4 linked regions of the Tamandua tetradactyla genome follow. The protein of the gene in region 1 interacts with the protein of each later gene in a biochemical or structural test. Links are inferred from orthologs where the notes say so. Each region holds a gene or a part of one and is shown on either strand. Other genes may lie near its edges.

The links.
Region 2: the proteins of NHERF2 (region 1) and PDGFRB form a complex in vitro, tested with the Homo sapiens proteins (2 studies listed by BioGRID and IntAct, with this or other methods). The link is inferred for Tamandua tetradactyla from reciprocal best matches to the Homo sapiens genes NHERF2 and PDGFRB.
Region 3: the proteins of NHERF2 (region 1) and ABCC4 form a complex in vitro, tested with the Homo sapiens proteins (2 studies listed by BioGRID and IntAct, with this or other methods). The link is inferred for Tamandua tetradactyla from reciprocal best matches to the Homo sapiens genes NHERF2 and ABCC4.
Region 4: the proteins of NHERF2 (region 1) and KCNJ1 form a complex in vitro, tested with the Homo sapiens proteins (2 studies listed by BioGRID and IntAct, with this or other methods). The link is inferred for Tamandua tetradactyla from reciprocal best matches to the Homo sapiens genes NHERF2 and KCNJ1.

Annotation. Positions count from the first base shown.
Region 1 is NC_135349.1:55,495,868-55,502,835, forward strand, and holds the start of NHERF2 (Na(+)/H(+) exchange regulatory cofactor NHE-RF2), read right to left. Parts: upstream 3,010-6,968; coding exon 2,797-3,009; intron 2,574-2,796; exon of another isoform or gene 2,369-2,573; coding exon of another isoform or gene 2,267-2,368; intron 741-2,266; coding exon 540-740; intron 1-539.
Region 2 is NC_135346.1:30,946,811-30,954,503, forward strand, and holds the start of PDGFRB (platelet-derived growth factor receptor beta), read right to left. Parts: upstream 3,059-7,693; 5' UTR 2,372-3,058; intron 1-2,371. UniProt on the Homo sapiens protein: Tyrosine-protein kinase that acts as a cell-surface receptor for homodimeric PDGFB and PDGFD and for heterodimers formed by PDGFA and PDGFB, and plays an essential role in the regulation of embryonic development, cell proliferation, survival, differentiation, chemotaxis and migration.
Region 3 is NC_135330.1:163,980,328-163,988,003, reverse strand, and holds the start of ABCC4 (ATP-binding cassette sub-family C member 4), read left to right. Parts: upstream 1-4,586; 5' UTR 4,587-4,739; coding exon 4,740-4,813; intron 4,814-7,676. UniProt on the Homo sapiens protein: ATP-dependent transporter of the ATP-binding cassette (ABC) family that actively extrudes physiological compounds and xenobiotics from cells.
Region 4 is NC_135334.1:7,766,332-7,774,252, reverse strand, and holds the start of KCNJ1 (ATP-sensitive inward rectifier potassium channel 1), read right to left. Parts: upstream 3,059-7,921; 5' UTR 3,041-3,058; intron 1-3,040. UniProt on the Homo sapiens protein: Inward rectifier potassium channels are characterized by a greater tendency to allow potassium to flow into the cell rather than out of it.

The sequences.
Region 1 (6,968 bases):
GCCTGGCCTGGGTCAGGCTGTCTGCACAGAGGGAAAGCCCTCCCCCACGCTGGAGGCTTCTGGGGAGGGGAAGAGATGGCGCGTCAAGACCCCACATAGCCGGCCTCGTCCAGCACCCACAAACCCCAAATCTGACACCTCTTCCACCCAGTGAGGCCACCCAGTGACCCCTCTGGCACTGCCCCCACCCCGCGACCCCTCCTCCCCGGTTCTCCTGGCCTGGAAAGTGGTCAGGGAGAAGGGGGAGCTGCTCACAACCCGGGGCGCCAGCAGCCCCGATTCCCGGCCTGAGACCCACTCATCACCCACCCCTCTGGGGCCCCTCCTCGGCTGCCCTGACCACAGCGTGTGCTGACTCCACGGACGCAGGGCTGGCCCTCGCAGTCCCAGGACTTCCAGCAGCTCCGCCCCAGGGGGCCCAGCCACTTGGGACTGAATGAGCTTTGTGGGACAGAGGACCGGGCGTGGGGAGGGACCGGGGGAGGGTGGGAAGAGCAGCCCCAGGGGCCGAGGCGGAGGTGCCCGGCAAGCCCGCCTACCTTCCCGCCTGCCTCGGGGCCCGCGCTGCCCGTGGCCACCCAGTCCGGCTTCGGCTCCCAGGGCTCATGGGGGGGCGGTAGCCCCCGCCGAGCCATCTCCTCCGTGCAGGTGAGCTGCCGCCGGCGCAGCTCCTCGTCCGTCTCCGTGTCCACCACCAGCAGCCGTGTCCGCCCTTCCACGGCCTTGATTCTCTGCACCACCTGGCCCGGGGAATGGGGGGTCAGCTCCGGAGCCCAGGGAGGACGGCACCCCGCCCGGGGCTGGCCGGCAGGGATGGGCGGCTGGACCGAGATGCCTGCCGGGCCCGCCCCCCACCCCCAGCCTCGGTAGCTCCCGCCCTCTTCTCCCAGAGCTCCCGACACCCGGGACTGGTTGCAAGGGCCGGGGATCTGAGCAGGGCTGGCAGTAGCCCAGGGTCCTCTCCAGGAGGGGCCAGGCAGGGGGCTGCAGGGGTGGGTTAGCTGCGTGAGTCGGTCAGTCTGTCTGGGGATGAGGGAGAGGGTGAGGGTCTGAGCTTCAGGTTTTTGGTCTGTGCATGCATGGCCTGGGGCCTGGCGCTCAGGCCGGGTTTCAGGAACAGAGCAGGGTCTCCCCAGGCCCGGTCTAGAGGGATCTTTCTCAGCAGCAGCATGTAGCCCCTAAGCCCCTGCCTCTCCCCATTTCCGTTAGCCACAGACTGGGACCTGGCATCTGCAGAGAAGCAAAGAGCTGGGCTCCTCTGACCAGGTGCCCACGCCCAGCTTGGCAGGGCTCAGACGGCCAGGAGAGAGGGCTTCAGGCCCCAGAGGCAGAGGGGGATGGGGCCGGCCCACCTGTGGAACGGGTACTAATGGTTAGGGCTGCTACGTGAGTCTGTGAGCACCTGTGACGTGCCTGGAGCACGCAGGCAGCTGCGGGCATGCACGTCGGGGTTCACCCGCAAGGAGAGGAAGCCGTGTGGTAGGCGGGACCACGACCCCACCCCACCCCATGGCCTAGGGGCGCCGCCAGGGCCTCCCCATCAGCTGCTGGGCAGACGTCAACAGACGGGAGTAGCTGAGCCAGACCCATCTTTGCCCTGGCTTTTCTCTCTCCCTGTGACCCCAAGACCCCCCACTCCCCTCCTGTGTGACCCTGCGTAGGTCAGCCACATTTCCAAGCATGTGTCCCATCTATCAGGTAGGAACTGTAACTGCCCCTCTCCTCCTGGAGCAGCTGGTTGGGGCACTGTGGTCCTGTGTTTAGCTCTGAGAGGCCAGTGCCCCAGAGGCCCCGGGTAAGCCAACTCTACCTGTCCCTACCCCGGCCCACCAGGTCGAGCCCCCCAGCCCCTGACCCCACACTCCTCCAGCAAACCACCGTATCCAGTTGATGGTCTAGAAGGATACGAGGAGGGCACACAGATGGACAGATGAGGGTCCCTGGGGTGGGAGAAGGAGTTCAGCTCCTGGCCCACCCAGACCTAGCCACGTGGACAGGTCATGACCCTGCAGGGCTGGAGGACCCAGGCCAGCGGGGCAGGCACCCCCCAGGAGTGAGAACCCACTGAGAAGACCCCTGCCCTCCCCCTCTGGCCCGTGCCCTGCAGCTGCAGATAGGGGCTGTGGCCAGCGGAGCTAACGGATGTGCTGCCACAAGCAGCTGACCCAGACCCACTTGGCTGGGGCACACACGGCCAAGTCCCCGGGGCCCAACATGCACACAGCCACACGCAGGGGAGTGCACACACAGTCGGACTCACACTCACCTGGGCATGCAGCGCTGCACACACACACAAACCTGTATACATCCAGGCGTGAAGACTTGTCCACGCGCTTGCACACACATGCGCACGCGCTGGTGAGTCCATGTACACACTAGCCCTGGCTGTGAACACTGTCAGAGATGCATACACACACACAGATGTATGCACACGCGGGTGACCGGCACACTCACACACACACCCAGGGTGTATGCAAACGTAAGAAAGCACGCAGGGTCCCCAAGTGGGGACCCACCAAGACCCCTAGGATGCAGGGCACCCCTACACTGGGCGCCGAGGCCAAAGGCACCTAAGCAGAGAAGGCCCGAGCCGCAGTGCGGCCCCTCCCTGCCAGGCGGCACCCCCAGCCCCCACCCCCGCGCGGCGCAGGGCTGAGCTTCCTGGGGGGTGGGGGAGTCTAGGAAGGAGGCCGGCAGCCCCCACTCCCCACCCCCCATCCCCCCCACCGCTGCCTCCGTGGCGCAGGCCGAGACGCGGGGGTCCCAGGGATGGGGTCCCGGGCGGGGGCCACCCACCTGGTGGTGCGTCTCTCCCTCCACATTGACCCCGTTGACCTCGACCAGGCGGTCCCCGGCGCGCAGCGCGGCCGCCTCTGCGGGGGAGCCGGGCTCCACGCGCCGGATGAACTGCCCGCGGCGGCCCTTCTCGCCGTGCAGGTGGAAGCCGTAGCCCTGCTCGCCGCGCACCAGGCAGCACAGGCGCGGCCGCAGCGGCTCGGGCCCGGCCATGGCGCCGCGGGGCCCCGGCCCACCCCGGCCCACCCCGGCCCACCCCGGCGCGGCGCTCACTACCCGCCCGCCAGGCAGGGGCGCGGGCGCGGGCGCGGACGGCAGCGGCGGCGGCTGATCCCGGCCCGGCGGCGCTCGCGGTGGCTCCGGCTCCGGCTCGGGGCGCCTGGGGCTCCGGCTCGGCTCGGCTCGGTGGCGGCGCCGCCCCCCGCGCCCGCCCCTTCCCGCCTCCTCCGCCCCGCGGCCCCCGCCCCGCGCCCGCAGCCCGCCCGGCCCCTGCCTCCACGGCCCGCCGGCGAGGGGGTGTCTGCGGGGCCGCCCGGACCCCTCTGCCTTGCCCCGGGCTGGGCAGCCTTTGCCTCTGGGTCCAAGCACGTTATGGAGCACCTACTCTTTGCGCGGTTTGGAAGCAGGCTCTTAAAGGGGTGAAAAAAAGGGGCTCCGGGCCTAGGGACCCCACGCAATGCCCACCCCCCTCCAGAAAGCCCTCTCTCCCTCCCTCTCCCCTCCCCTCCCCGACTCGTCCTGCTGTCCGACCCCGTTCCCCTGTCTCTGGGTCCTTCCATTCCCCCACCCAATTGCCCCCGCCCAGCACAGAGTCCCCGGGGGATGCAAGAGGGGCTCAATAGTGATATGGCCAGGGAGGTGACCTGGTGACATCCTGGGCCCCCGGGGAGTGTTGGTGCTATCTGTCTGGGTATAAACATCCCCCCCCCACCCGTTCCGTCCCTTTTCTGGGGCCCCTCACTTTCTCTCACACACACCCCGCCCCAGGTCTTGACTGTGACTCTGCAGTGGCGGCTGGAATGGGGTGGGAGAGGACCCTGCACTTGTCTGGCTGGGACACGGGTGTCTGCGCCATGCTTCCCCCCACCCCCCACCCCCAGCGCTGGCAGTGGCCATAGGAGCCGCTGCACGCTGAGCAGGACGCTGCCGGCCGGCACCCCCACTCCACCCCAGCTCCACCTGCCTCAACAGTCCAGCACCCCTTCCCCCAGGCGTACGGCCACAACCACAGTGATGAATCATTTGTGCTTTGGGGTGCCCCCTGTGGACCACACGCTGTATGCATTTCACCTGGGGCACCCTAAGGGGCCCCGGCCATTTCGCAGATCAGGAAACTGAGCTTGGGAGAAGGAGAGGGAAGAGGCTTAGGCAAGATTCCCAGCTAAAGCTCAGGCAGTCTCTGTAGCAGGGAAACAATCGAGTCACAGGCACGCCCTCTGCCCCCTCGGCCGGCCCCTCCCAGCCCTGCCCGACCCCCTGCACATACTTGGTCCCCCGGAGGCAGGCATGGCCACCACAGCCAGTTCCCCATCAGGGCGGCAGCGGCAGGCTCAGCTCAGACCTGGCAGCTCTCCTCCCTCCAGCACCCCAGGCCTGGCCTCCCAGCCCTCTCCCTCTGGTCAGCCTCCTGGGCCCAGGCCCCCTGGGTGCTCACATCCCAGCAGCTGCCCCTAAAAGCCACTCAGGCTTCAGAGCTGCTCTCTCGCCCCCATCTTTGCAGGTCCCAGAGGATGCCACTGCAGTCGGGCCTGGCTGCGTGCCGTCATGCCACGACTGGGCCTCCCTGGCCCCACCCTGGCCCTGCTGCCCCTGCAGGCTGAGGACGCGGGTGCAGGCAGTCCACGCTCTACCCGAGTGGGGCCTGGGTGTTTGCCCACGGCAACCAGGACCACCCAGGACCTGCCAGGCTGGAGCTGTGGGGTCACACCTGCAGGGGGGAGCTGGCTGCATGGGAGACCCTGAGCCAGGGGGGTGGGAGAGGAAGGGGCCCTGGCCCTCTGAGTCAGGGGGCTTGGAGACTTCTTTCCCCCACCCTCATAGGCTCTCAGATCAGCCCCAGGCCCTTGCTCGCCTGCTGGAGAATAAGTAAAGGTGGTACCAAGGGGAAGGAAGCAGAATAAGTACAGAGGCCCGGGCCACAGAAGTAAGGAAAGGTGCCCCCAAGGTCTGCCGGGCACATGCTCCTCAGGGAGCTTCTGCGAGCCCTGCCAAGGCTCCTGCCAGCTCCCTAGGCCAGTGGTGGGTGGTGACAGAGGCGTGAGTGGCAGAGGCACAGGTAAAGGCAACGAGGCCAAAGGGACAGCATGGCAAAGGCTCAGGAGTTTCCACCCAGCAGTGTCCAGGGCTGTACGCTGCTGGGGGGTGGAGACTGGGGACTGGGCATTGGAAGGGGGCAGTGAGGCAGCAGGGGCAGCGCCTTGGGGCAGGGCTCGGACTGACCCTGGATTTTATTTTCATTTTGTGGCTCTGGGTGTGGCCCGGCCCCCCAGGCCAGCAGCAGGCCACAAGGAGGTCAGGCCAGGGCTGATGAGGAATCCAGGTGACCCCACCCACCCACCTCTGCCAACTGGCTGTGCAGGCCTGCGGCCGGCTGCGCAGGTATGTCGTATGTCAAGACTTTCCGGTCCCTTCCCTCCTCTGGGTCGGGCCTGCATGCTGGGGCAGCCCTCCTCCGCGACGGGGCGGCCGCGGGCAGAGGCCTGGCCACCAACCCACGCAGGACCCTGACCGACGTCGGGGCGGGGGCGACCCAGGGCTTCCCGCTCGGGCGCCTCCTCCCTGACCGCGTCAGTCGCCTCCGCCCTCAGACCGCGCCGGGCCCCGGGCCTCGTTCGGAGCCCGCAAAGGGAGCGACGGGAGCGGGGCGGAGAGCAGAGACCCCGAGGAGAGGCGGGACGCCGGAGTGACGGCGAGGCGGGTGCGGAGGGCGGAGGGAACCCGCGGCCGGGCCCCGCCCCTCGCCCGCAACAGAAACGGCGGGGTGACACCTGCCGGCGGCGGCGAGGATTACATCACCCCGAGCGGCCTCGGACCCCGCCCCTCCGGCTTCCCCCAGGTGGGGGTCCCGGGGCTGAGGCCTGGGCTGAGGCCGGTTCCCTAGGGCTGATGAGGACGCAGGGGCACAGGGGTGCTAAGGACAGGTGGGCAGGAAAGCCGGCCTCCGCTTGGCGCCCACCTGCTCGGTTGCTCCCACCTTGGACCTGACACCCTCTCCCAGCTGGGGGTGCCTCTCCGCCACAGGAAGTCCAGACCCCTCCCCAGGTGGTCCGCCGCTTGCAGCCGAACGCGTGCACGGACCGCTCGTGCGGGGCGCTGGCTGAGCGCAGGGGAGGCTGGCTACCGCGGGCGCAGACACGGCACCTGGACCTGAGCCCAGGGCAGCCCCGAGGGACATCTAACCCCGCCTGGGGACCCAGGGGTCCTGCACCGAGGGAGGCCCTGGGATGTTCTGGGACCTGCCCAGGGTTCCTGCAAGGCATGGGGGCCGGGAAGAACTAAGGAGAGAGAGGGGCCAATGTCTGCCCTGTGGCCAGGCGCCAGAGCAGGGACCCTGTCCCTTAGGCAGTAGGGAGCCCTTGAGGTCTTGTGACACCGTGTTCTGAGGGCACAAGCAGGGGAAGACTGGGGAATGCACAGGCTTGGAGCGGGGAGAATGAGCGGCTGAGGCATCAGTGCAGGACCTTGTGGGGGGCTCTGAGGGAAGGGCTGGGAAGCCTCTGGATAAATAAAATCGGTCGGGGGTGGGGAGCACCCACGTTGAGGGGAGCAGGTAGAGAGAAGGGTGCACTCAGGGGATAAGGAACTGTCCTGGAGGGGAGAGGGAGGCTTCCCGAGGCTGAGGGAGAGTGGGAGCTGTCAGCTAGAGGGAGCTGGATCAGCACCACCACCCCCACGCCCCCGGTCCCTGCAGGCTGCTCTCAAGGGCCCCTGGGGAGACGTCTCCACTGCCGGAAGGCATCAGGGCATGTGCCCCTGAGGTTTAAGGTCTGGACGGAGTGGAGGCAGAGACCAGAGTGAGGAGGGTTGCAGCGGGCAGGGTGGGTGGAGGGGCCTGGTGGAGTAGGAGCAAGGACTGGAAATGCTAGAGGAGGGAAGAGGGGGAGGGTCCCTGAGGGGTCTGCTGAGATGAGGGACCGGCCCCTGGGAGGAGAGCCAAGGTCCCCCTTCCAGTC
Region 2 (7,693 bases), on another chromosome or scaffold:
TCTACCCCCTGCCCACTGGCTCCCAGAAGAGGAGGAAGCCCAGAGCGGAGACGTGGGGCCTGAGGCTGAGCACACAGAGGGTGTAAGCAGAGCCAGGGCAGCAGCCGAGCCTCCTGACTCTGAATCCGCGGTGCTTTCCACTGCCCTACATCTGTGGGTAATTACAAGTCCCAGCTCGTCCTCCCAAGAAATGGCTGTCATCCCCAGAGGAGGGAGGCCTGCCTGATAACCACGGTTGTGAGAGGAGCGGCCTGTCCAGATGGGCTTCTTCCCCACTCAGGAGCAAGCCAGGGCCCAGGCGGGTCTTGGAGCAGAAGGTCAGACCTGAGACAAGACTGAAGTTGCGGGAGGATGGAGACTCTCTCCCTCTGGCCGGGGCCTCCCTGCATAGCATGGGGCTTTGGATTCGGGTAGACCACAGCTTAAATACCAACCCTGCTAGGTGTGTGACCCTGGGCAAGTCACTTAGCTTCTCTGAGCTCGGTATCCTTACCTACAAAACAGGGCTAAAATCAACACTGATCTCAAAATCCTCACAGGCCTGCTGTGAGGATTGAGGCCTGTGAGGTACCAGACTCTATGCCTGGCACGGCGTGAGTGCTCCATGATGAAACCAACACGCCTGATATGTCCACAGATGCTCCTGCCTCCTGCTCCGAGGAAGGGGAGGGCTATGAAGAGCTCTTTGGAGGGAGGCCTTGTGCGCTCTGGGGCTCACAGGCGTGGGCAAGGACACCCCTCCCTCCTTGCAATGGGGAAATGTGGCATATAGGAATTACGTGCTGGACACTTAAGGGAAGGCAGGAGGCCTGGGTTCTGGTCTCCCACTTGGGAACAGAAGATCTGCAGCCAGTCCCTCCTCTCTTTCAACAGCACGTTTTCCCAGCCCCACTTCTGCCCAGGGCTGGGCACAAGATGGGGAGACCTGAGGCTGGCACTTTCTCTTTGTTATGAACTGAACACAAACAAGAGAGGGCCAAGCGGGTGGTCCACGGTGGCTCAGCCGGCAGAGTTCTTGCCTGCCATGCCGGAGACCCGAGTTAGATTCCCAGTGCCTGCCCATCTAAAGAAAAATAAAAGAGAGAGAGAGAAAGCCAAGCAACAGGGTTCCAGCACAAAGTACAAGACAGTTGCTTGGGAGTTCAGAGCTGAGAGTGACCCAGGGACCGAAAAAGCCAGGAAGGCTGCATGGAGGAGGAAGGTGTAGGGAGTGGCCTTGAAGGAAAAGTGAAGGTGATGAGTAAAGGCCTTCCAGGTAGGGGGAAAGGGGAGAGCAAATGCCCACAGGCAGGATGGTATAAATTCTTTCTGGGGAGCCTGTGATCTGCTTGGCAGGAACAAAAGGCCCAGATTCAGAGTAGTGAGGGGGCTACCACCTCTCCACTCTCCACCATCACTAGCTCATGTGTGGCTATAGTTATGTGGCTGCTGTGAGCCTCATTTCCTCATGTGTAAAGGGGAGTTTAAAAACAGCTCCTGCTTCTGGGGGCTGAGTGTTGCACAAGATCATTTTCATAAAGCCCTCAGCACAGTGCCTGGCATACCCCAAGTATCAATCAGTGGCAGCTGTTATTAGGGGCTGGGGTTTTCTACAGGCCCTGGGGAGCCACAGAAGGATTCTGAGCAGGAAGCTGGAGGGATCAGATTTATGTCTTAGAACGGAGCGGAGAAGGAGCGGAGCTCAGGAGGCAGACGGCGAGTAGGCCTGAGCAGCCGACTGGCACGGGAGGAAGGGTTTTGCCAATCAACCCCCTCTTCACACGGGGACCCCCAGATCCGACAGCCAAGCCCCAGCCCCCAGTCCCAGCCACGCAAACAGTAGGCTGGGGCCCCCTTTGCTACCCTGCCCTCGCACTTTCCCAGCCCCTGGGGGTTTGGAAGGACATCTTAGGAATCCGGAAAATTTGCAAATCCATTTAAATCCCCAGAGGTTGCCTGGCGGCCGGCTGGAAGAGAGCCAGTCCCATTCTTAGGGACAAGGCTTGGGCCTGGGGGTAGGGGCTGGGTGCCTGAGGTCCATGTACCCTGTTTGCCATCCCCCAATTCCCCTCTCACGCCCCTCCCAGCTCTCCCTACCCCCCACAGATGATGCTGTGTTTTGGAGGCCCCAAGCTGCATCCCACCAGAAACCACTGGAGGTTGTTGTTGAGGAAGGGGCAGCAGAGTTGCGGAGGCAGAGCCCACCCCGGAAGCGGCCTGAGCCGGGAAAGGAGATAACGGGCTCCTCCAGCCCTGACATCACCTGCAATCTCTCAGCCTCCTCCCATCTGGTTTTGTTAAAAATATTTTTCTTTTTCTGACCTACAAGGAGGTGCAGGATGGAGCAAGGGGACAGGGTAAGGGGCTACGGCTACCCCGTCTCAGCACTTACCTGGCTCTCAATGCCTTCTGGTGTGGACAGAGTCCCAGGTTCTGGGCTGCCACCGCCTCCAGGAAGTCCTCAGTGCCCTCTCCCTCTTATTAGGAAGACTGGTAGAGTGGAGACAGGGCAATGGGTGGGCAGAAAGGCAGGCAGGGCGGCTGCAGGATCCAGGAGCCTCTGGACAATGAAGGAGTGGGAGGGCTGCAGGGGTGCAGAGCAGCCCAGCTTCACCTCACTCCCAAAGCATCCTTCGGGAGGGGCCGAGCTGCCAAGAGGGGCCGCCCTGGGTCTGGCTGTTTGCACTGGGCACGGTGCAGGCTGCTGTCTGGCGGCTGGTCCGAAGGGGCCAGGCTCACTCTTTCTCGTTGTTGTCCTCTGTGGCTCTAAGTTGCTCCCGGAGCAATCCCACGTCCCAGACAGGGCGGGCAGGGACTGCCGGGCCACTGGCAGCCCCAGGAGCTCACACCACTGTGGGCTTCCCTGCCCCCCCACTTTAGGGGAAAGGCTGCAGGGCGGCCTCCGATTGGCCCAGCTGGGAGAAGGGGGGAGGCAGGGCAGGGAGGGCGGACGCGTGCGTCTGTTTTCAATTTCACGTTTTTTTCTCTCTCTCTTTCTTTTCCCCCAAGTTTCTTGTTTTTCTTCCTCTTTTCCCCTCTGCTTGCTCCCTCCCATCTCACTCTCTCTCAGGATGTGAAGGGATGTTTAGAAATTCCGCAGCCCACACCAGCCAGCCGCTGAGTCACTTTTATTAAAGAGTGGCCCAGCCCCACTTGCCTATTGCCTGTCACGGTGGTGGCTCCTCTTGCCATGGCACGTGGAGGCAGGGAGGCACATTCTCTGTGCCTCAGTTCCCCCTCTGTAAACGGAGCTCTGGTGAGCCATGTGGGTGATTCTGCAAACAAGTATTACTGAGCACTAATGAGCCAGGCGGGGAGCAAGGGATGAGATTGCAAGTAAGACACAGGCTGATGGGGAGACACACAGTGATCAAGCAGGTATCCCCGGGAGGACAGGGAGCTAAGAGGGCACCTAAATGGGGCCTCCGGGAATCGGGGAGTACTTCTGAGAAGAGATGGCTTGGATTATAAGTCACTTATCAGAAGAAGAAATCAAGGCCCAGAGCTAACTTGGAGCAGAGAGGGAAAGCACACATCTTCAGATCTCCAGATGTATTCTTCCTATCATTTCAAAGCCTCTGGGGGGAGGGGCAGTAAAAGACTATTTGTCCCATTTTACAGATGAGGAAACTGAAGCCTAGAGGAAGAAAATGAGCTGCCCAAGCTCACACAGCAACAGCAGAACTGGAGCAGAACTGGTCTGATGAGCCATGTGATTGAAGGGGCATAGGTTATCTGATCCTAACATACATTTCAGAGTAGAACAGTTCTCCTGCTCTGCCTTCTTCCTAGGTTACCCCCTCCCTGTCTCTCTTTAATTCAGTCAAAATTAACAGATATTTTTAAGTAGCTGGTATGCTCTACTTCCAGCTTCCCTACCAGGGACTGCTGAGGCTCCCTGGGTCCCCTGGCTAGGCCTCTCACCTCCCACACTCTTCTTTTACCTTGGCCTCCTTGCCCTGACGATGTCTCTAATCACTCCCTCCTAGCCCTTAGATGCTAAAGGGCTAACAGTTTAAGAGCATTGCATTGAGCCCATTTTTGCCCCCACTATTTGTGCACATGGGGAAACTGAGTCCCAGAGAAGGGAAGAAAGGAATCCCAGGTCACACAGGTAGAGCTGATATAACCCAGGGCTCCTTCCCCTCTGCCCTCTGTACCTCTGCCCACCCCCTTCTCCTCCTTTCTCCCACCCAGCCCCCTGTTCCCAGGGCAGGGTTTTGTTTGAGCTGGGATTCCACGCCAATGATGGTAATCTGTCTTGTGATCATTCTTGGTCCTATCCCAGTAGGGATTGCCTGGCCTAGCATCTGGACTGGGCTGCACGGAGAGAGAAGAGTCCTCAGGCTGGCCCCATGCCGTGGGGTGGGGAGGCCATGAGAACCTCCCAAAGCCCAGGGCTTGGTGGCAGCAGAATTTTAGGGGAATGTAGGGGGACCCCAGAGATCACAGTGTTAGACCCACACAGGACTCTTTATGCCCAAAAACTCTCTGAGGAATTTGCGGCTCCCCTTCTGGAACTTGCCTAACCATTCATCTCTGAATCCTTGGCCCAACTGCTGGGACCAAGACAGCTGAGGGGGTTTAAGGAGGCATTTCAACTTCCTAGTCCCCATAAAAGCTGGCCTGGGAGTCAGGAGACCCATTCACGTATCTGTTAGTTGACCTTGGAGAGGTCGCTTGTCGTTCCTGAGCCTAAATTTCATCATCTGTACATAACAGAGGTGAACTCGCTATACCTGAAAGCCCTAGGTTTGCTCTGCTGCAATTTCCCTAAGAGCTGGACTCTGGCTAGGGAGAGGCGGCTGATGAGCCCCGGGCAGGGGGACAGCTGGGGGCCAGATATGTAGCGCAGAGGGGAGGGGGCGGCTGGTGGTGGCTCCCTAGGGAAGCTGGCGGCCGACAGTTTCCGGCCAGCCCAGCCTTCCGCTGGCCCATCTGGAATCATTTAGCCCCTACCACCATTAACCCTTGGTGGGCACTAGGGCTATGGGGCCTCCTCTCAGCTGAGAAGGGGTTGGTGCTAAGCCACATGGAGCACCACAGGGCACTTGCTGAGAGCTGGACAGTTGATGCCGAAGGGTCATAAGAAGGCAGGCTTTGGGGCCAGAGACAGACCTGGGATCAAATCCCAACTTCTCCACATCTGAGCTATATCACTTAAATTCCTGAGCCTCAGTTTCCTTATCTGGTAAATGGAGAGAATCCAAGGACTGACTCATAAAACCCTTGCAAATTAGCACTGCACTTAAAAGGGTTTAGTACAGTGCCTGGAAGTATAATTATTGAAATAGTGAATTTCCCTCATTTGAATTGCCACCAATTACTGTGTGTGCCTAGGCTGAGCCCTCTCTTCTCTGGGCCTCAGTTTCCCCTTGTGTACTCTGAGAGGGCTACATGGTTGCCACAAGGGGAGCTCAGCACTGACATGCCAGGGTGGTCAGCATAGGCTCAGCCCCATTGCGGACAGGACGAGCCACAAGCATTCCCCTGCCTGCCCAGATGCTGGGAGCCCAGCCCACCCAGCTGATGGCTTCAGACAAGACTGGCCTGGGGAGGGCTGGGCTGAGAGTGGGTGGGCAGAGTGTGGAGCACGGGAACCCTGTTCCATGCTGGGAACATGATGGGGAGAGAGGTACAGGGGAGAGGAGCCCTGGGCCTTGGGTTCAGCATCTCCCCTCCCCGCAGCACCCTGGTACTGCTCAAAGGTTGAGTTCCAACCCAGCTCTGCCACTTCCTAATTGTGTGACCCTGGCCACTGATATTATCTGAGCTCTCTGAACCTCAGTTTCCTTACCTGTAAAGTGGAGATAAATGTGCCTACTTTACAGGGCTGTTAAGAGACCTGAATAAGCCACATCCAGAAGGCGTGTGAACAGAGGACTAGAGCAGAGTGAGAAAACTCCACCAGCGGTGCCTGATTCTCAGGGGTCACCAGGAGCGGCTGTCACAGAAGTCCACTACCAGGGCTGGAGGGGAACGTGTTCAACCCGCTCATTTTACAGCCAGGATGACTGAGGCCCAACGAAGCAATTTTGCAAGGCCCTACAATGTGTCACTGGCAAAACCGAGCCTGGAACCACAGCTTTTGCCTAAACTCTGAGGCCCAAGCTTTTCCCTGAAGGAGGGAACAGGGCTCAACTGACTCCCCTCCTCAGACCCCCACCCACGCTTGTCAGAGCCGGAAGCCACAGCTCTCAGTGGGGCAGGGGGAGGAGGGTGTCCGGAAAGGGAGCCTGAGTGGGAGAATTCCCACCAGGCCGGCTCAGCGCTCACTCCGGCAGGGCCAGCGGCCACCACATCTGGCTCTCCCACGCTCCCAGACGCGGCCCCACCCCCACCGCACCCACACTCCCCAGGCACGGGCCAAGGAAGCAACACATATGTCCCAGGCATCAGTGCCGTCACCTTGGATGCCAGGGCCTCAAGTGCTCCAAGAGCACAGCCACTGCACAGGCGTGGGCATTGAGGTCCCGAGCATGGAAAGAACCTGCCGGAAATTAGCAGGGAGAAAGAGACCTGGAATGCAGGACTCCTGACTCCAGCTCAATGTCTTTTCATCCTTTCATGCCCCGTGCAGGTACACCCCTGTGCCTGCAGCCTACCGCCACAAAAGGCACAAAGTGGAAGCTACCCTCCTTCTTATCCCCTGGATACTCAGCTTTTTCTTTTCTTTTCTTTTTTTAAAACTCGGAGCTTTAATGGTCATTTAATTGAGCAACTTAAGAGTCCACTGTCTACAACAAAGACCTGTGGCACAAAAAGACTCCAAACAGGAAAAAAGTTTCCATGGGGATATATATCACACAGCATCGGTGCCCACTGCCTGGACACTGACACTGCAGGCTGGATGGGGCCTTAGTCCTTGGAGACCTCAGGCCATATTCCCACCTTAGGTTCCCAGGGCTGCCCTTAGTGGACAGACGGCAGCCACCAAGGCCTGCGAGGGTTGCAGGAGGTAAGGGCTTTGAGACACTGCCCACCTAAGCCTCTCCCCAGCCTCTTAGGTGGCCTCCACTTCGGTGCTCCAGGACCACAAGGAACTGGGGCAAGTCCTTCTGGTACACACAGATGGCTCAAGGATCCTTAGCACAGCAGGGCCCAGAGGCCACACGTCTCCTCCTCATTGGACACACTAAGGCCCAGGAGGGCCAGAACGTGCTCGAGGATGTATAGCAGTGCTGGGCTGGGACCTCTGACTCCCAACAGCTCATCTAGGCAACAGAAGTTAATTGAGCACCTACTTTGTACCCTGCCTCACAGAGCTCACATACAAACACCGAGATTAGTAATATTAAAGTGTGAGGAATGAGACATAGGGAATAAGGGCTTGGTGGAGAGGGGTCCTGTCTAGGTAGAGAAAGGCTTCTCTGGGGAAGAAACATTTCCACTGAAACCTGTAGGTCGAGAGGCCACACACCATGTGTGGGGGGTGGGGTACGGAGGCAGAGGGAACAGCATGTGCAAAAGCTCGGAGACCCGAGAGAGCTTGGTGTATTGAACAGAAAGGAAAGAAGGAAGGGAAGGGACATGGTGGAGTAGAAAGCTGGATGGAGGCAATCAGGGGCCAGGTGTCAGGGCCTTGTGGACTCCAGAGAGGATTCTGGCTTTTATCCTGAGGGTCAGGAGGGGTCACTGCAGCATTTTAAGCAGGGAGTTGATGAGATCAGGTCACTGCAGTACAGTATGGAAGACAGGCCAGGGAGGGGTGGGT
Region 3 (7,676 bases), on another chromosome or scaffold:
TTGTTGAGATCTTCTATGTCTTCCTGAGTCAATGTAGCTTGTTTGTGTGTCTCCAGGAATTTGTCCATTTCATCTAAGTTGTTTAGTTTGTTGGTGTATAGTTGTTCATAGTATCCACTTATGATTTCTTTGGGGTTTGTGGTAACACACCTCTTTTCATTTCTGATTTTGTTTATTTGCATCCTCTCTCTTTTTTTCTCTGTCAGTCTTACTAGCGGCCCATCAATTTTTTTTTTCATTCAGTGTTTTAACATAATTACTTTACAATTAGGTAGTATTGTGCTGTCCATTTTTGAGTTTTTGTATTCAGTCCTGTTGCACAATCTGTATCCCTTCAGCTCCAATTACCCATTATCTTACCCTATTTCTAACTCCTGATGGTCTCTGTTACCAATGACATATTCCAAGTTTATTCTCTAATGTCGGTTCACATCAGTGGGACCATACAGTATTTGTCCTTTAGTTTTTGGCTAGTCTCACTCAGCATAATGTTCTCTAGGTCTATCCATGTTATTACATGCTTCATAAGTTTATTCTGTCTTAAAGCTGCATAATATTCCATCATATGTATATACCACAGTTTGTTTAGCCACTCGTCTGTTGATGGACATTTTGGCTGTTTCCATCTCTTTGCAATTGTAAATAATGCTGCTATAAACATTGGTGTGCAAATGTCCGTTTGTGTCTTTGCCCTTAAGTCCTTTGAGTAGATACCTAGCAATGGTATTGCTGGGTTGTATGGCAATTCTATATTCAGCTTTTTGAGGAACCGCCAAACTGCCTTCCACCGTGGTTGCACCATTTGACATTCCCACCAACAGTGGATAAGTGTGCCTCTTTCTCCACATCCTCTCCAGCACTTGTCATTTTTTGTTTTGTTGATAATGGCCATTCTGGTGGGTGTGAGATGATATCTCATTGTAGTTTTGATTTGCATTTCTCTAATGGCGGCCCATCAATTTTATTGATTTTCTCAAAGAACTAACTTCTGGTTTTATTGATTTTCTATTATTTTGTTCTTCCATTCATTTATCTCTGCTTTAATCTTTATTTCTCTTCTCCTATTTGATTTGGGTTTAGTTTGATGTTGCTTCTCAGTTCTCTTCCTCCAGTTTGCTGTTAAGTCCTTGATTGTTGCTCTTTCTTGTTTTTTACTATAGGCATTTAAGGCAATAAATTTACCTCTCAGCACAGCCTTTGCTGCATTTCATAAGTTCTGATAAGTCGTATCCTTATTTTCATTTATCTCCAGATAGCTACTGACTTCTCTAGCAATTTCTTCTTTGACCCACTGGTTGTTTAAGAGTGTGTCATTTACTCTCCATATATTTGTGAATGTTCTCCTTCTTTGGTGGTTATTGAGTTCCAGCTTCATCCCAGTTTGATCAGAGAAAGTGCTTTGAATAATTTCTATATTTTTTACATTTATAAAGACCAGTTTTGTGCCCCAGCATATGATCTATCCTGGAGAATGTTCCATGAGCACTACAGAAGAATGTCTAACCTTGTGCTTTGGGGTGCAATGACCTATATATGTCTGTTAGGTCTAATTCATTTATCAAGTTATTTAGCTTCTCTATTTCCTTTTTGATCTTCTGTCTGGTTGTTCTATGTATAGAGGAGAGTGGTATATTGAAGTCTCCTTCTATTATTGTTGAAACATCTATTGTTCCTTCAGTTTTGCTGATGTCTGTCTCATGTACTTTGGAGCACCTTGATTGGGAGCATAAACATTGGTGAACTGACCCTTTAATTAGTATATAGTATCCTTCTTTGTCTCTTATAATGTCTTTCAAATTTCTTTCAGTAGTCGAAGGCCTTGTGCTTGTGGGATGGTTGTACAGCAGGGAGCAGAGCATGGGTTAGAACACTAAGTATGGTGATTTGTTTCAGGCATGTATGGGCACAGGTTGGGGATGTTAGGCTGATGCTTGTGAAAGTGGGTGCCTGGTGGCCAAGGAGGACGTAGCCGTGCGGGTGCTCCATTCTAGGGGGTGTAACTCTGATGTGTGCTATGCTTGACTTTTAAAAGGTGTTGCATACAATAAGCCTCTGTTTAAAAGCTGTTTTTAGGGGTGTATGAGTGGTTCAGTGGTAGAATGCTCACCTTCCTTGTGAGAGACCAAGGCTTGATTCCAGGACCATGCTCCTCCCCCACACCACCACCACCACCACCACCACCATCACCACCAATCACCATAAAAGCTATTTTTTTCTTTTCATCGGCAGGCACTGGGACTCAAACCCAGGTCTCTGGCATGGCAGGTGAGAACTCTTGACACTGAGCCACCATGACCTGCCCATTAAAGCTGTTTTTAATAAGGCTCTTTTAACTAAGGTACAAGGGTGTCATAACTATCAAAACTTTTGTGTGTGGCCTAGGCATCTGTATTAATCACAGTTCTCCAGTGAAAAGAATCTACAGGATATATATATTTAAATATTATGAGACTGTAGAAATTGGCTAATGCAACTGGGGGGATGGGCAAGTCTGAATTCCATAGGGCAGGCACCAAGGTGGGAACTCCAATGAAGGTTTCCATGAATTTCCCAGGGGAAGACGGATGGCTGAAGTAGAGACAGAAATTCTTTGCTGAAATCACCAGTCCTCTTTTTAAGGTCTTCAGCTGATTGGAAGAGACTTATCTCATTGCTGAAGGCAGTCTCCTTTGTTGCTTGTATATGTAGTCAACCATAGAAACAATCAACTGACTAATATTAAACCTATGAAGTACCCTCATAGCAACAAGCAGACCAGGGCTTGCTTGACCAAACAGCTTGACACCATAACCTAACCAGGCTGACACATGAACTTAACCATCACAGCATCCATTTCACTTGGGTGAAGCTTCAGCACTGATTTTAGTTGGTTAATGAACAGCTTTCCAGCCCTGGAGAATAAACTCCCCCAGAGCTGAAACCCACATATGTGACAAACACCACCCACATCCCTGACCCCAAGCCCACAGCTGATTTCAAATGATCTGCTACCCATCTGCAATGCCCTTGGACTCCTAAGGGTTCATGTTCATTTTAACCAGTCCTTGACTCCCATAGGAAATCTATAACCTCCTTCTCTGCATAGCAATAAAGGCACCAGCCCATTGGTCCCTCTCATTCTGATTGTGTGCTCCCCACCTGCTGAGTGAGTCACTCAAGCTGATCAGGCTTCTGGTCAATCCCTCATGTCACCCCTATCTCTGGGACCTGTGGGTAATAAACTATCTTTTCTCATGCATTAGTGCCTCTGTTTCTTATTGAGTTATACCTGACCTCTACTCAGACCTAAATTTAAAATCTAACTTACTAATTTGAAACAAAGGGAAATTATAAGAAATTATAAGAAATAATAATAAAGTGATTTTATAACCACCAGCAACATGTAATCTTTGATCTTTTTTTCATTGAGGGCTGAAGGGAAGAGAAGCTGCTGAGCTGGTAAGGTGGCTACACAAATAATGAAGACTTATGAGTTGGAACACAATTTGTTCATTCATCCCTACAATCATTCAACCCAGTTTTCTGGGTACTTTTCATACGCACTGACCATCCACACATACTAGCTTGAATCCAAATTAGGTTTCATCATTTACTAACTCTTAGGACCTTAGACGAGTTCTCTTCTTGAGCCTCACCTTCACCTGAAAATAGGGATAACAATACCTTCTACAATGGGGTTTTGCAAGAAATTAAAGAGGTAAGGTACCCAGAAATGCATATAACTGGTGTTCTGTAATATGTTCCTTTTGCTGCTGTTATTATAAAGTCTGAGAGAGCAATCAAAGAAATCATAAGATAGTCTCTCTCCCCTCATATACCCCTTTCCCAGTCTAAGAGAGCAGCAAAAACTCCACAGAAGTCCACCAAACAATGCAGCTTGTAATGCCAAAAGCCTGGCCCCCAAGTGACAGCATTCACTCATCCTCCAAAATCATTTGGGTTTTGCTAATCTTCTTTGACTTCCATTTTTTTAGGGCTTTGCAGCTCTACAAAGATATTGTGTGAAACCCTGACTGCACGAGCTCATGTGTTTGGCTCGCAGGTTGGAGAACCTTTCACAGTACACTTGTTTGCTCCTGGTGAGGTCAACGCGCCGCGCCGGGGTGAGGGCTGCTCAAGCTGCAGCTTTCGCCAGATCTTCTTAAAATGCCAGCCTCGGGGGGCGCTTCTGAGAAGCAAGGCAGGGCAGGAGCCGATGCCTCCCGTCGCCACTTTGTGTGTGGGTGCCTTGGCGCTCATCTTTGAACTTCAGTGAAGCTTACGTTCAGGTCTCAACACGTGGGTGCCTCCGCGCCGCCGGACCTCTCCCTCGTGCGGGCTGACTGCACGGGCTCTCCACGCTTTGCTGTTTGCCTAACCGCGTCCATACAGCCACGTCGGCTCCCCCTCGCCTTGCACTGCGCGCAGACCCCAGGCCTCTTAGCCTGTTACCTTAGCTTGCCATCCCTTCCAGCTGCACTACCAGGTGGCCCGTGGGCCGCGCTCGGCCACTGCACGAGGCTCCCGGGCCCCAGGCGCGTGGGGGGCACTCTCGGAGGCCGCGAGGGCTGGGAGGCGGGGACGGGGCGTGCCGCCGGCGGCCAGCTTCCGGAAGCGGGTGTTTCTTTGACTGCTGCGGAGCAGACTCGGTATTCCAGCGAATCACCCGAGGCCACCAGGAGCAGCGGGAGCGGCGGGAGCCGCAAGTGTCGCGGGAGCAACGCGACCCCGGCCTGTACCCGCCCTTCCTTACCGGCGAGATGCTGCCGGTGTACCCGGACGTGAAACCCAACCCTCTGCAGAACGCGAACCTCTGCTCGCGCGTGTTCTTCTGGTGAGCAGCCCCGCCGCCGCACTCCGCCGGAGCTGGTCACCCTCCCGCCGCTCGTGCCGGTGGGCACGACCTGTCCCATCCTGCCCTGGCAGTCCGTTTCTCCCCTCCCTTCTTCCCCCCCCCACCGCCGCTCCGCCATCCGCGACCGCGGAGGCTCTCTCCCGGGGCTCTAGCCTCCTGTTCTGCGTTTCTTTTGGTGGTGGGTGGGCCTGGGTCCGAGCGTCGCGAGCGGTTTCCGCCCGTGTCCTTGGATCCACGCCGGGGCTTCCTGCCGCGGGTGGGGCCGCCCGTCGCGCCTTCGTCGCCGGCCGCGGGGCGCCTGCTTGCGCCCTGGTGTGCGGCGCGGGCGGGAGAGGAGCCCGTGGGCTGGGCGCTGGACCCAGGAACTGACGCGGAGCCGCGGGACCTGGGAGGGCGCAGGGCACGTGCGGGTCTCCCCCTCTCTCCGCGGTACCTCTCAGTCCCGCCGGTCCTCAGTGTCCGGGAGCAAGAGCTGCAGGACGCGGAAAACCCAGGCTGCCTGAAGGTAGATTGCCTTCCCAGGTGGAGAAAGTACTGGAATCCCCAAACTCTCATCCCTAGCTGGCTTCCCACCTACCACTCAGGGATTCGCAGTTCTGCGCTAGATTTGCACTTTTTTTTTTTCTCTTTTTTTGAATAAGCATTTTATGAACAGCTTCCTTCATCTGATCCAGAGTCTAATTAGTGCCCGGGACCAGCACCATCTCCCAATAGTGTCCCCACCCCTTCCGATAGTCCTTAGGTGACAGCTGCGTTCCAACTCTACGGAGCTCCCGCTGTGTGTCTGTCTCTCTGTTCTCGAGTTTCTCTTGGTATCCGTGTGTGTGTGTGTGTGTGTGTGTGTGTGTGTCCTTCTCTCTCTTGTGTCCGTGTGTATCTCATTGTGGGTTTGAGTCTGTGTTGTACCATGGTACCTAGTTGTGGCAAATTTCACGTGGGTAAAACGGCACTTTATTTTTAATATAATGAATAGGAACATTAATCTCTAGAAAGATCCGCTTCCACATTTTGCTTTCAACTGTGAGACCATAGCCAAGACTGGAGTATGTCTTTGGCTAGTCTCTTTCCCTATTGCTAAAATTTTCACTTCCACTTTTGCTACTTTTGAGAACAACTTTGGAGATGGGGGATCCCTGTAACCTTGTAGTAGTACAGGTCTTGCCCGGATCTCTAGGTCTCAGGGGAGGATCTGTGATTTTGATGTCAGTGGTCCTGTCAGGGAGTCAGGAAGGGTGGCTGAGCTGGGAGGGACCTAGAGCTATGTTTCTTATGTGAGTAAACAAGCAGGTGAGGAAATGGGGTCTGAGGACTGAACTTGCCTAAGTACAGGTTTGTAGCTAGAAGCTGTGAGTACTAACTACGTAGACTTGAACCTTTGGGCATTAATCGCCGGTGGATGATTATTAGACATTTTTGTTTCCTGATCTCTGCCCTTTCGTCTTTTCCACATATTCTGATGACTAATGTTTCCTTCTTTTTTTAAATGGGAAAACCTACAGGATCCCAAGGGGTTGAGTGCGCCCACTATTGTTTTAATTGTAGTTTATTCGCAATTCTCTTGGCCCTTCTCTTGAGGCAGGGGAGCAGAGGAGGAAGGAATATGGGTGTGGTGCCCATAAATAAGAACCTGAAGGCAGGCAGGCAGGCGTTCTCATTAAATTCAGGTTGGGCCCTGGACTCTTGTAGCACTGTCTAAGTGTGGATTTTCAAAATGTAGTTGCAGGGCAGGAACTGAAGCAATGAAGGACAGGGGAAGGTGATGACTAGGGTAGGTGTCCAGCTAGAGGGGAAGGAACTAATTACTCTGTTTTACACATGAAGGCACTGAAGCCCAGAGAGTTTGAATAAATTGCTTAGGATCACACAGTGGCAAAGCAGGATCCAAATGCAGGATGTTCTGGCTCCAGAACCTGTTTGTAACCTCTGAAGTGGGCTGCTGCTTTGGGGTACTTGATGTTAAGTGCCTGGAGAAAGCTATTTCACATAGACCCTTGTTCATGGATGCTGGAGTTTTGCAAAGGAAATTCTTGCTTTTGGTGAGGATGAAAGTGAAACATCTATTACCATGCTTTAATGCAGGTGTTCTCAAGGTATGGCACTCAGACCGTCCATCTCATCATCACCTGAGAACTTGTTAGAAGTGCAAATTCTCTGGGACCCACTGAAGACTGATAGAGGAAAATGAGAAACTCAGAGGGTTCGGGTTCAACAAGTACTCCAGGTGATGATGATTGAATCAGAATGATGACTGGCTGCTTTAAGGACTTCCTTCTGTTGGCATTGTGATTGCATATTATATTTAAGTGTTAAAGGGGAGGTAGGATATTTTGAAGACAATTGTGGGCAATGTTGGCTGTCCTATTTTACTTACCTTTTGCTTTTCGAGGAAATTTATAGTCTCTGGCAGCTAAGTGATTTTTTGTTTACCCTTCTCCCTGCAATCAGGAAAGCTGAAATGAGCCAGCCAGGAGGTGGCTGCTGGATAACAAGGCCCGCCTCGTAGAGAAAATCTACTTTTTGTTTTCTATTTTGGCGTTTGCTTTTCTTCTCAGATTCCATTTTTCTAAACTTGTGAACTGGTAGCTGCCTACCCAAATGATGCCAATAACCAACTTTCATACAAATGATGTTATTGGAATTTTGATGTTTTTGTAGCACAGTGTGGACTGGGGGTTGTAACCCAGAAATCAGGATTTAAGGGATGATTTTTATTACTGAATTGTTATATAAATATTTCTTTTTGCTTTCTGGCATTTTGGGGTAGACAGAGAAATTCCTGAAATCTCTAAATTGTAATCCAGCTGCCTTGATTTCTGATAATGATTATACAGCCCTTATCTTT
Region 4 (7,921 bases), on another chromosome or scaffold:
CCCCACCTGCTAGTCAGTCTGTGGATGCTCACTGCATATTCAATAAACATTAATGGAAGAATCAGCAAATTAAGCTCTTCAAGATACAGTCTGATCAGTGGTTTCTTACTGATGACATTATTGTGACTTCTAATTTACAACAGCAACAAATTAAGGGATTTCACAAACAGCCAAACAATGATGAAATCAAGGGTTCGTTAACACTCAACTACCTCTTCCACTACGCCAAAGAAAAATCTAAATGTTCCCACCTTGGCTGGCAATGTCTTTGTGGTATTTTTAATTAAATGCAAATATGTTTTTAAAATAGATTTCAAAATTCCCCTTTGAAAATGTGTTTATTCATAAAAACTAGGAAGCGAAACTGACAGTGATACATTTTAAACAAAAGTGACATTCAACGCTGTCTTCCTCGTGGTTGAACCCTGCTGAACATACAAGAAGCCAACACCAAATAGAAGTGAAAACAAAACCAGTCGTGGTGATATGAAATGTTGAGGGCTGGCTCTAAAAATATAAAAATAGACTTTGCCCACCAGGAGAGAAAATGGCAATGCATACATTCAGCCTTGCCTCCTTCCACCCAAGTCCTTTGGGGACCTCAAGTCCCAAAACAGACTTAGTGGATGGTCCCAAATGAGGTTACTGAGGGAGGAATAGTGTTCTCCTTCCCCCATTTCTCCTCTGCTCTTGCACAGACATTCCTTAATCCCACTTACATCCAAAGAGGACCGACGGCTTTTCCCAGGCATGTGGAAGCTCACAGATTTCAGAAGTTTCATCTCACCTTAAATCATAAATTCTAAAACCAATGTTTATCAAATAAGTTCTACATGATCTTTGTCATACATTATAATTTCAGAGATGGAGCTCAACACACTGACTTCTGAGTTTTTCTTTCCCACCTCCCTTCTTTACCAGCACTTTAAATCCATTCAATTTTGAGGGTACAGAACCATTCTACAGACTGGATAATTACCTCCCAACTTATCCCTTGGATAAGGTTGGGTTTCCAAGACTGTATTAATAATGAAATAGTATTTGTCAGGTCTTGCAAAGATGTAAAGCAAAAGCAACCTCCCTATGATGCTTTTCCCAGATCCCCAGATTGTCTTCACTTACCAACAACTTATAAATATTCCCTTTCTGGCTGGCAGCATCCATGGCTAGGTAAGACAAGGCGGGGATGTTGGGAGTTGGCCTCTGCCCGCAGGTTGATTTCGTTTAGAGCCAGGCTAATTTAGTTTTAGGCTTCAATCATGGACTGATGCTAATTTATATTACCTTGAAAATACTTAATTTGATAATGGGGTTGTGTGGTTTAAACCAAGGCAATTGGTTGTTCTTAGACCAAGCCCCATGCTGAGAGAGAGAGAGAGAGAGAGTGTGTGTGTGTGTTTTCCCAAACCTCACATGGCTTGAATACCGTCATGCTAAGACATGACAAACCCTCAGTTCAGGTCCCTGGGCAGCAGGTATGGACTGTGGCCCAGAGTTTCACTCCTTTCCTTAGCCACGCTCAATAACTCTTGCTGTTTCTCCTAAGTCGTGCTCAATAGCTTATGGCCAGAAACAATTATTTATCATCAATCTTCCAGCCTGCTCCTTGAAACATACTGAGGTATGGAGGTTTCCAAGGGTTTGAAAAGCTAAAGGCAGAGGATATGTACAAATTTGCAAGATGAAATAAGATTGCACTAGGAAGAAACAAGAGAGCGTGTTAATCTCTCTATTCAACAGTCATGGTTATATAAGAAACTGAGGTTTAAAAGAAGCCTTTATTGTTGGATTTATTCTGTAAAATCTGGCATTTACTGAAGGTACTTTTTACCTGTACTTGGTTAACCAATCTGTTGATTTATTTATTCAAATAGTGAGAAGTATTATATCCAGACAATGCAAGAGTACAGGAGACATTCATCCTTTGACCAAACCCTTCATTCACAAGGCAGACCTTTTATACATGTATTTTACTTTGTTTAGACACTTAATCTGACCACAGACAGAATGAATCTATATTTTATGAACTCTTGCATGTTCACAGACTGTCCCTGGTGTCTGACTTATGTAACACAAATGGTTTTTAGGTCCTTTCTGTTGAAATCAGTCCATCTTAATAGCAAGCATAGGGCTGTACATTAGCTAATATTTACCAAGGCATTCTTAGTGGGTTGGCAAAGCAACTGGATTATGTTACTGCCATTTTCCTTTTTTGAATCCTTCAGCATTCTTGTTCTGTGAACAATCCATTTTCAGGAAATAGACTTCTTGTAAATTTTCCACACATTTATTGTAGACTGAGTTTACAAGATTTCAAAGACAATAGAACCTCATCCCTGTTCTCAAGAAGCTCAGGGTCTAATGGGGAAGTGAGCTAGGTAAATCAGCAATTACAATGTGGTGTGCTCTTCATCTGAAAAAAAATCTATTTTCTGAAAGATCTCCACTAGATGGGTATTTACCCTCTGCTAAAATACTTTACATGACAGGAAACTCATTGCCTTTTGTATACATAAATTTATTTATCTATCATTGGCCAACAAATACCTATTAAGTCTTACTATGGGTCCCAGGCATCGTGACGGACATCAGGAAAGCAATTCCTTACCAAGCGAGGCCAGCCCTTGTCATTGTGATGGTTCCCGTGAAGGGTAGGAGTGGGAGACAAGCAAATCAATAAGCCATTAAAGGCAGGGGAACATGGGTCATGGGCCATGCTACAAAACAGTGGTTGCACTCAGGGCAGCACCAGTTCTGAGTAGGAACTCAATCAGTGACTGTTGAATGGTGATAAATCATCAAGGTAGACATAAAAGCCATGAGTTTGTGGTCACTTGTATTGGCTTTACAAATGATGGTTCCCCATCTAAGGGAATCAAGTCCTTGGCCACATAGCATTAACCACAGTCCTAATAACTGTGTGTGTGGATGATTCAGGTGGGGGCATTTTAAAGAGAGCACAAAGGGACTGAAAGCAGTTCCTTGTCAATATTTAGAGTACTAGGGGCCTTGGTGAGAAATCAGACTGGAGAGGCCATGCTATAACATCAAAGACATTTTTGTTATAAGCCTAAAAGAAAAACTAGAATAAAGAAACTGTAGTCCTCTTCAGAGAAAACTCACTATTTTTCTAAATAGGTCTGAAGTCTCTTCCACTTAACAGCCCTTCAAATTCCTGAAAATAAACATATTTTTCCCCTTTATCTCCTTTTCTCCATAAAAATGCAGTTTTCATCTGCATTAACGTCTGCTTTAACCACACTCTGCATATTAAATGAGGTACCTACAGTTTGTGGTCACTGCTGATATTTCGAGAACCAGAAGGGAGGCTGTTCCTTTGCAGGCAATGACCCCAGAAGAATCCACTAAGAATTTAAGATTTCTTAAAGTTTATCACACTGCTTCCTTCCCATCCCCAGGATACTTAGTGGGTACTACATCAGAAAGAAGAGGGCAAATAGGTGCTGGTTTTACTACCTCTTACTTAGGATTACTCAGGCTATTATTTATCTCTGTAGATGAAAAAGTATTTATTATTAAGCTGCCTTTTAGTCAAGCCTCACACAACTCAGACTCAACCTTAGTTAACTTCAGAGTGTTCTTGAGAGTTGAGTTTATGTTAAAGAAGTAGGAAGTAGGAGTTATGGGGACCCAAGAGCAGGAGTCAAATGTTTTTCTCTACTCCCTTTGCAGTTGTGGTGGAACAGAAAATCCAAGTTTCCATGAAAATGAACTACTTTCTTTCAGGCCAACAGTCAACTAAATTAACAGATGTTTCTTGAAGCCCCACCATGAACAAGGCTAATGGATGGGATTATGGGATCTGATCTCTGCCCTCTTAGTCAAGTTATTGAGCAAGCATTCTCTGTATTGAACTCCTACTATGTGCCAGATGCTATGCTAGGAAACAAATGAGGTAAAAGACCCTGCTCCCAAGGAGCTCACAGATAAGTAATCTTATTGAAATGCAGCCAGCAGCCTGCTCCCTGGGAGAGGGAGGACACCAAAGTGGAGAACAAACAGGCTGAGTGTCACGCTTGAATTCTTCTGACACACCTTTGCTCAGGAGCAGAACCAAATGCATCTGATTGCTACTGCAGAGGATTTCCTGTTTTCTATGAAAGTAATCTCAAGGATTTGCAAACAGAGCCCCCAAGGAACAGAAAGTCAACTAGCTCCTCTGACTACCCAGGACCTATGGTACACACAAAAAATTTTGTTTGGTGATGCAGAGAAAAGTTACCTCTGATGACTTTGGCATTGTCAGTTAGTTCTTTTGGGGTCAGCACAAACTCTACTTATTTAAATTTGGAAAGTCCAACGCCAGCTCTTTTCCCTAGCTTCATGGGCATGGAAAGGAGCATTTGGACCTCACGATTCTTTCAGGCTAGGCTCGGGAATGTACTGCAGGAGGACTCCACCTTTCCCTCAGAGTGAACACACTTCAAGGCCTCTCTGCTATGAAGTAGGATTATGTTCAGGGCGGAAATGCCACACAGGCCTTCCCAGATGCCTCGCTCCTTCCAGAGCAAAAGCCAGGAAGGACAAGGTCTGATTGCACTGGCACTCTCACAAGGCACACTGTGCTCTGTAGACAGCACAGGAGTAGATCATTCATGTAAGCCAGAGGTGTGGCACGCAGGTGGGCTCAAAAGAGGATAGGAGAGCTGGCCCAGGAAAGCCTACGATTTAGGTCACAATCAGGGCAACATGGAAGGAAAGACCAGCTCAGCTAAGGATAGACATGGATTTGATGGGGCAAAGGCTTGAGCAAGTCTCCTTGCTTTTCTGAGCCTCCATTTCTTTACCTTTGTGGAGTGGCTATAATGATATTACTTTCAAAGATTTACAGTATACTTTAATTGCAATATCATATTTAAAGTTCCTAGAACACAGCAATTCTAAGAGAGCATGACAAAGTTCTGGCAATAGGTATATCTATGAACTGTAGTGGTTTCAGAGCCTGTCCTCCCAATGCGGAATGGAAGACCTGGGAAGTGCAAATGTGTTGTATAAAGGGCTTGTCTCTAATGAGAGAAGAGAAGAAGGAAGAGGGAAGAAATAACTGCCCCTGACAAGGTTAGGCAGAGGTGTGGTATGCAGGGCAAGGCTGTTCTGTCCTGACCAGGCATCCACTGGGATTTGGATTGTATCACTGCAACCCCATATGCCCTCTGAAAAAGAGATGCACGTCCCCAGACATCCAGCACATCTACCACAATCCCAAATCCTAGGAAGTCCTTTCCAACATCTTTGAGTGAGTCCCCTGCCTCCTGGGTCTCTCTGGCTGCCACCAGCAAGAAGCTCACCTTGCTCAATGACAGGCATGACCCAGGTGGCCTTTGGGTGTAGCACTTGACACCACCAAAGGACATATGGGCACCCAAATTAAGAAGTGTATCTAAGAGGCAACAAAAGCTGTTTTCAAGCTGCCTGTGTGAGCCAACCCCATTCCTTTCCATAAGCCACACATGCATACATGCATTTGTACACCTGCATGCCCACACTTCGCACACACATTTGCTTTTGTATGAGGTGGTGAAGAATCGAGGAAACAATCAATTGAGATACCAAGAGTCATTAAATACAAAATCTTCAGGTTCAGATTTTAAATTTCATCTAAGCTAACTTGTTCACCAAGGGCATTGATCATCCTAAAAATAAAGCCCGTAGCTCTCTTCATGACTCCTGCATGGGGCTCCAGAGGGAAGCCTCAGAAGGTATGCCATCCCCTTCCACGCCCCCCACCCCCACCATGTAGCCAGCCTGGGAGCTGGGCACCTGAGCCCAGGTAAGGTGACTTGGAGGTCTGGAGGTGGTGTGTACTGGCCTTAGAGTCAGAAGCCAATGCTTTGGAGGCTGGGCTTTTATTTGTGTGTACTTTATATATTGTTTCCTAGTGTTCATCATCATTGTTTCTGAAATTATTTTGGAAACACCCCCATGTCTCAGCTGTGCAAAGAATGGTGGATGGAGGGGATGCATTATCTCTGCCTGGTAGGGAGTTTTGAAGACACAGCAGTGCAGGTGGGGGTGGGGGCTGGTGAAGAAGGTTGGGGGTGGGTTAAAGTGAGCAAGCCCCAGGGGACAAGAGAAACTCACAGCCACAACCCAGAGCTGGGCCTCCTGGGTTCCTATTCCAGGGATTTTTAAAGAATTCTTCTCTTCTAAACTTCAGAGTTCTGCACTATCCTGGAGGAAAGCGCTGCCCTCTTGGATGTGATTGGACCAAGCCTGGGCAAACAAGGTAAACCCAGGCCAGAGCGGAGGTGCTCAGACTGAACTCAACGAGGAGAGAAACGGGGCTGAGGAGGCCCTCCAGCCAGTGTAAGATAGGAGTTACCGCAGCCCTGAGAGCTTCAGGACCTGTCCCCAGCTCCAAGAGACATGTCCAATTCTGTGGAAAGAGCGGCCCCTGGAGGCGAGAGACTCTGGGGTCCGAGAGCTTGGGGCCAGGCACGGTGTGGTCTCTTTACGTTCATGACCACATTGAAATCTCACCCTGGGAGGTGGGGAACTGAGACTCAGAGACGTTCGACAACTTGCCCAAGGTCACAAAGCAGAAAACCCAAAGAGCAAAGATTAGCATCTAGATCCGCCTGACTGAGAAACCCTCGCCTTGAGCCTGAGGGCATACTCAAATAGTCCTAAACCAAGTCGGAGCAAGGCAAACATTTACTCAGCTCCTACTTACACAGTGCTGAGAAAAGTGAGTTTCCATATATTTCCTTGCTCCCAGAGCATGTTCAATATTCCCAATTTCAGTTCTCCCAAAATATGGGTGGTAGATGGCAAGAGCTGGGGTAAGGGGACCAAGTTTTGTTTAGATACCAAACAGAAAAGGATGGGAGAAGGTTTGCGTTGGTGAAGAGGAGGGGAGGAGATGGGAAAGGAAGGGAAAGGAAGAAAAGGGAAGGGAGTGGAAATTAGTGGGGGGCGGGGGGAGGAGCAAACTTTTATTGAGTGCGGAGGTTACACCTAAGCAACAGACTGACGATATAAAGATAAGACACATTTAAGGCTGTCCATCCTCATGCCAATACAAAGTCTGTGCTGGGTCTCTGCTGGGAACTCCTGGGGCTCCACTCTCCCACCGGGCTAATTTCTTCCATGTCATTTTCTCAGAAAGAAACTTAAATGTCAGTTTCGCAAAGAAAGGGGTTTCCAGGCTGCCCTCACCCCATTTAAATCTGGTCTTTCTCTTACAATTACATTTGATTTGTAGCACTTATAGTCATTCCTAGTTCAGCATTTCTTCTTGTACCGCTCTGCGGGCAGCAGCCACATCTGTCTCTACCGCTGCATCCCCAGTGCCCACTTAGCCCGGTGCCAGGCAGAAAGAAAGCTCAATAAATACTTACCAAATTAACAAATAGAGGTAGTAAGGTGTGAATGACTCAAGGTGTTCAAGTTTTTAGCACTCAGCCGAAAGCCACTCTCTGATGGGCCATTGGTCTCCGGTCTCCACATGCCCAAACACTTATCCATCCTGCCTTTTTCCAGCCTGGGTGGCCCAAAGCTTGCTCCCTTAGAAGTCAAGGTGAAAGATGAGCCACTTGCCTGCACCTGACAAGGACCAGGAGATGATTTTCAAAGCTTCATGTATGTGTGAAACTTGTGGCCTGTAGGAGCTGCTGGGCTGGGGTTTCCAGTGTTTGCCAGCTTGTCTTTGTCAGAACTCAAGGGTTGGGGTGAAGGTGTGCCAGGAAAGATACCTGGTAACCCAAAAGAAAATAAGTGCTGCATTCGAATGGGTATTTGCAGTCTGGAGAAGGAGGGCAGTTCCCTGCAGAGCCCCAAGTTTCCATCAGTCTGTACCAGGTACTTCATGGAAAGGGGAGAAGGGCCACTTCCCTCTCCTGGGGACTCTGACTTCAACTCAAGTTCTCAGATCTCCACCTACACTTGAGCTGAACCTTCC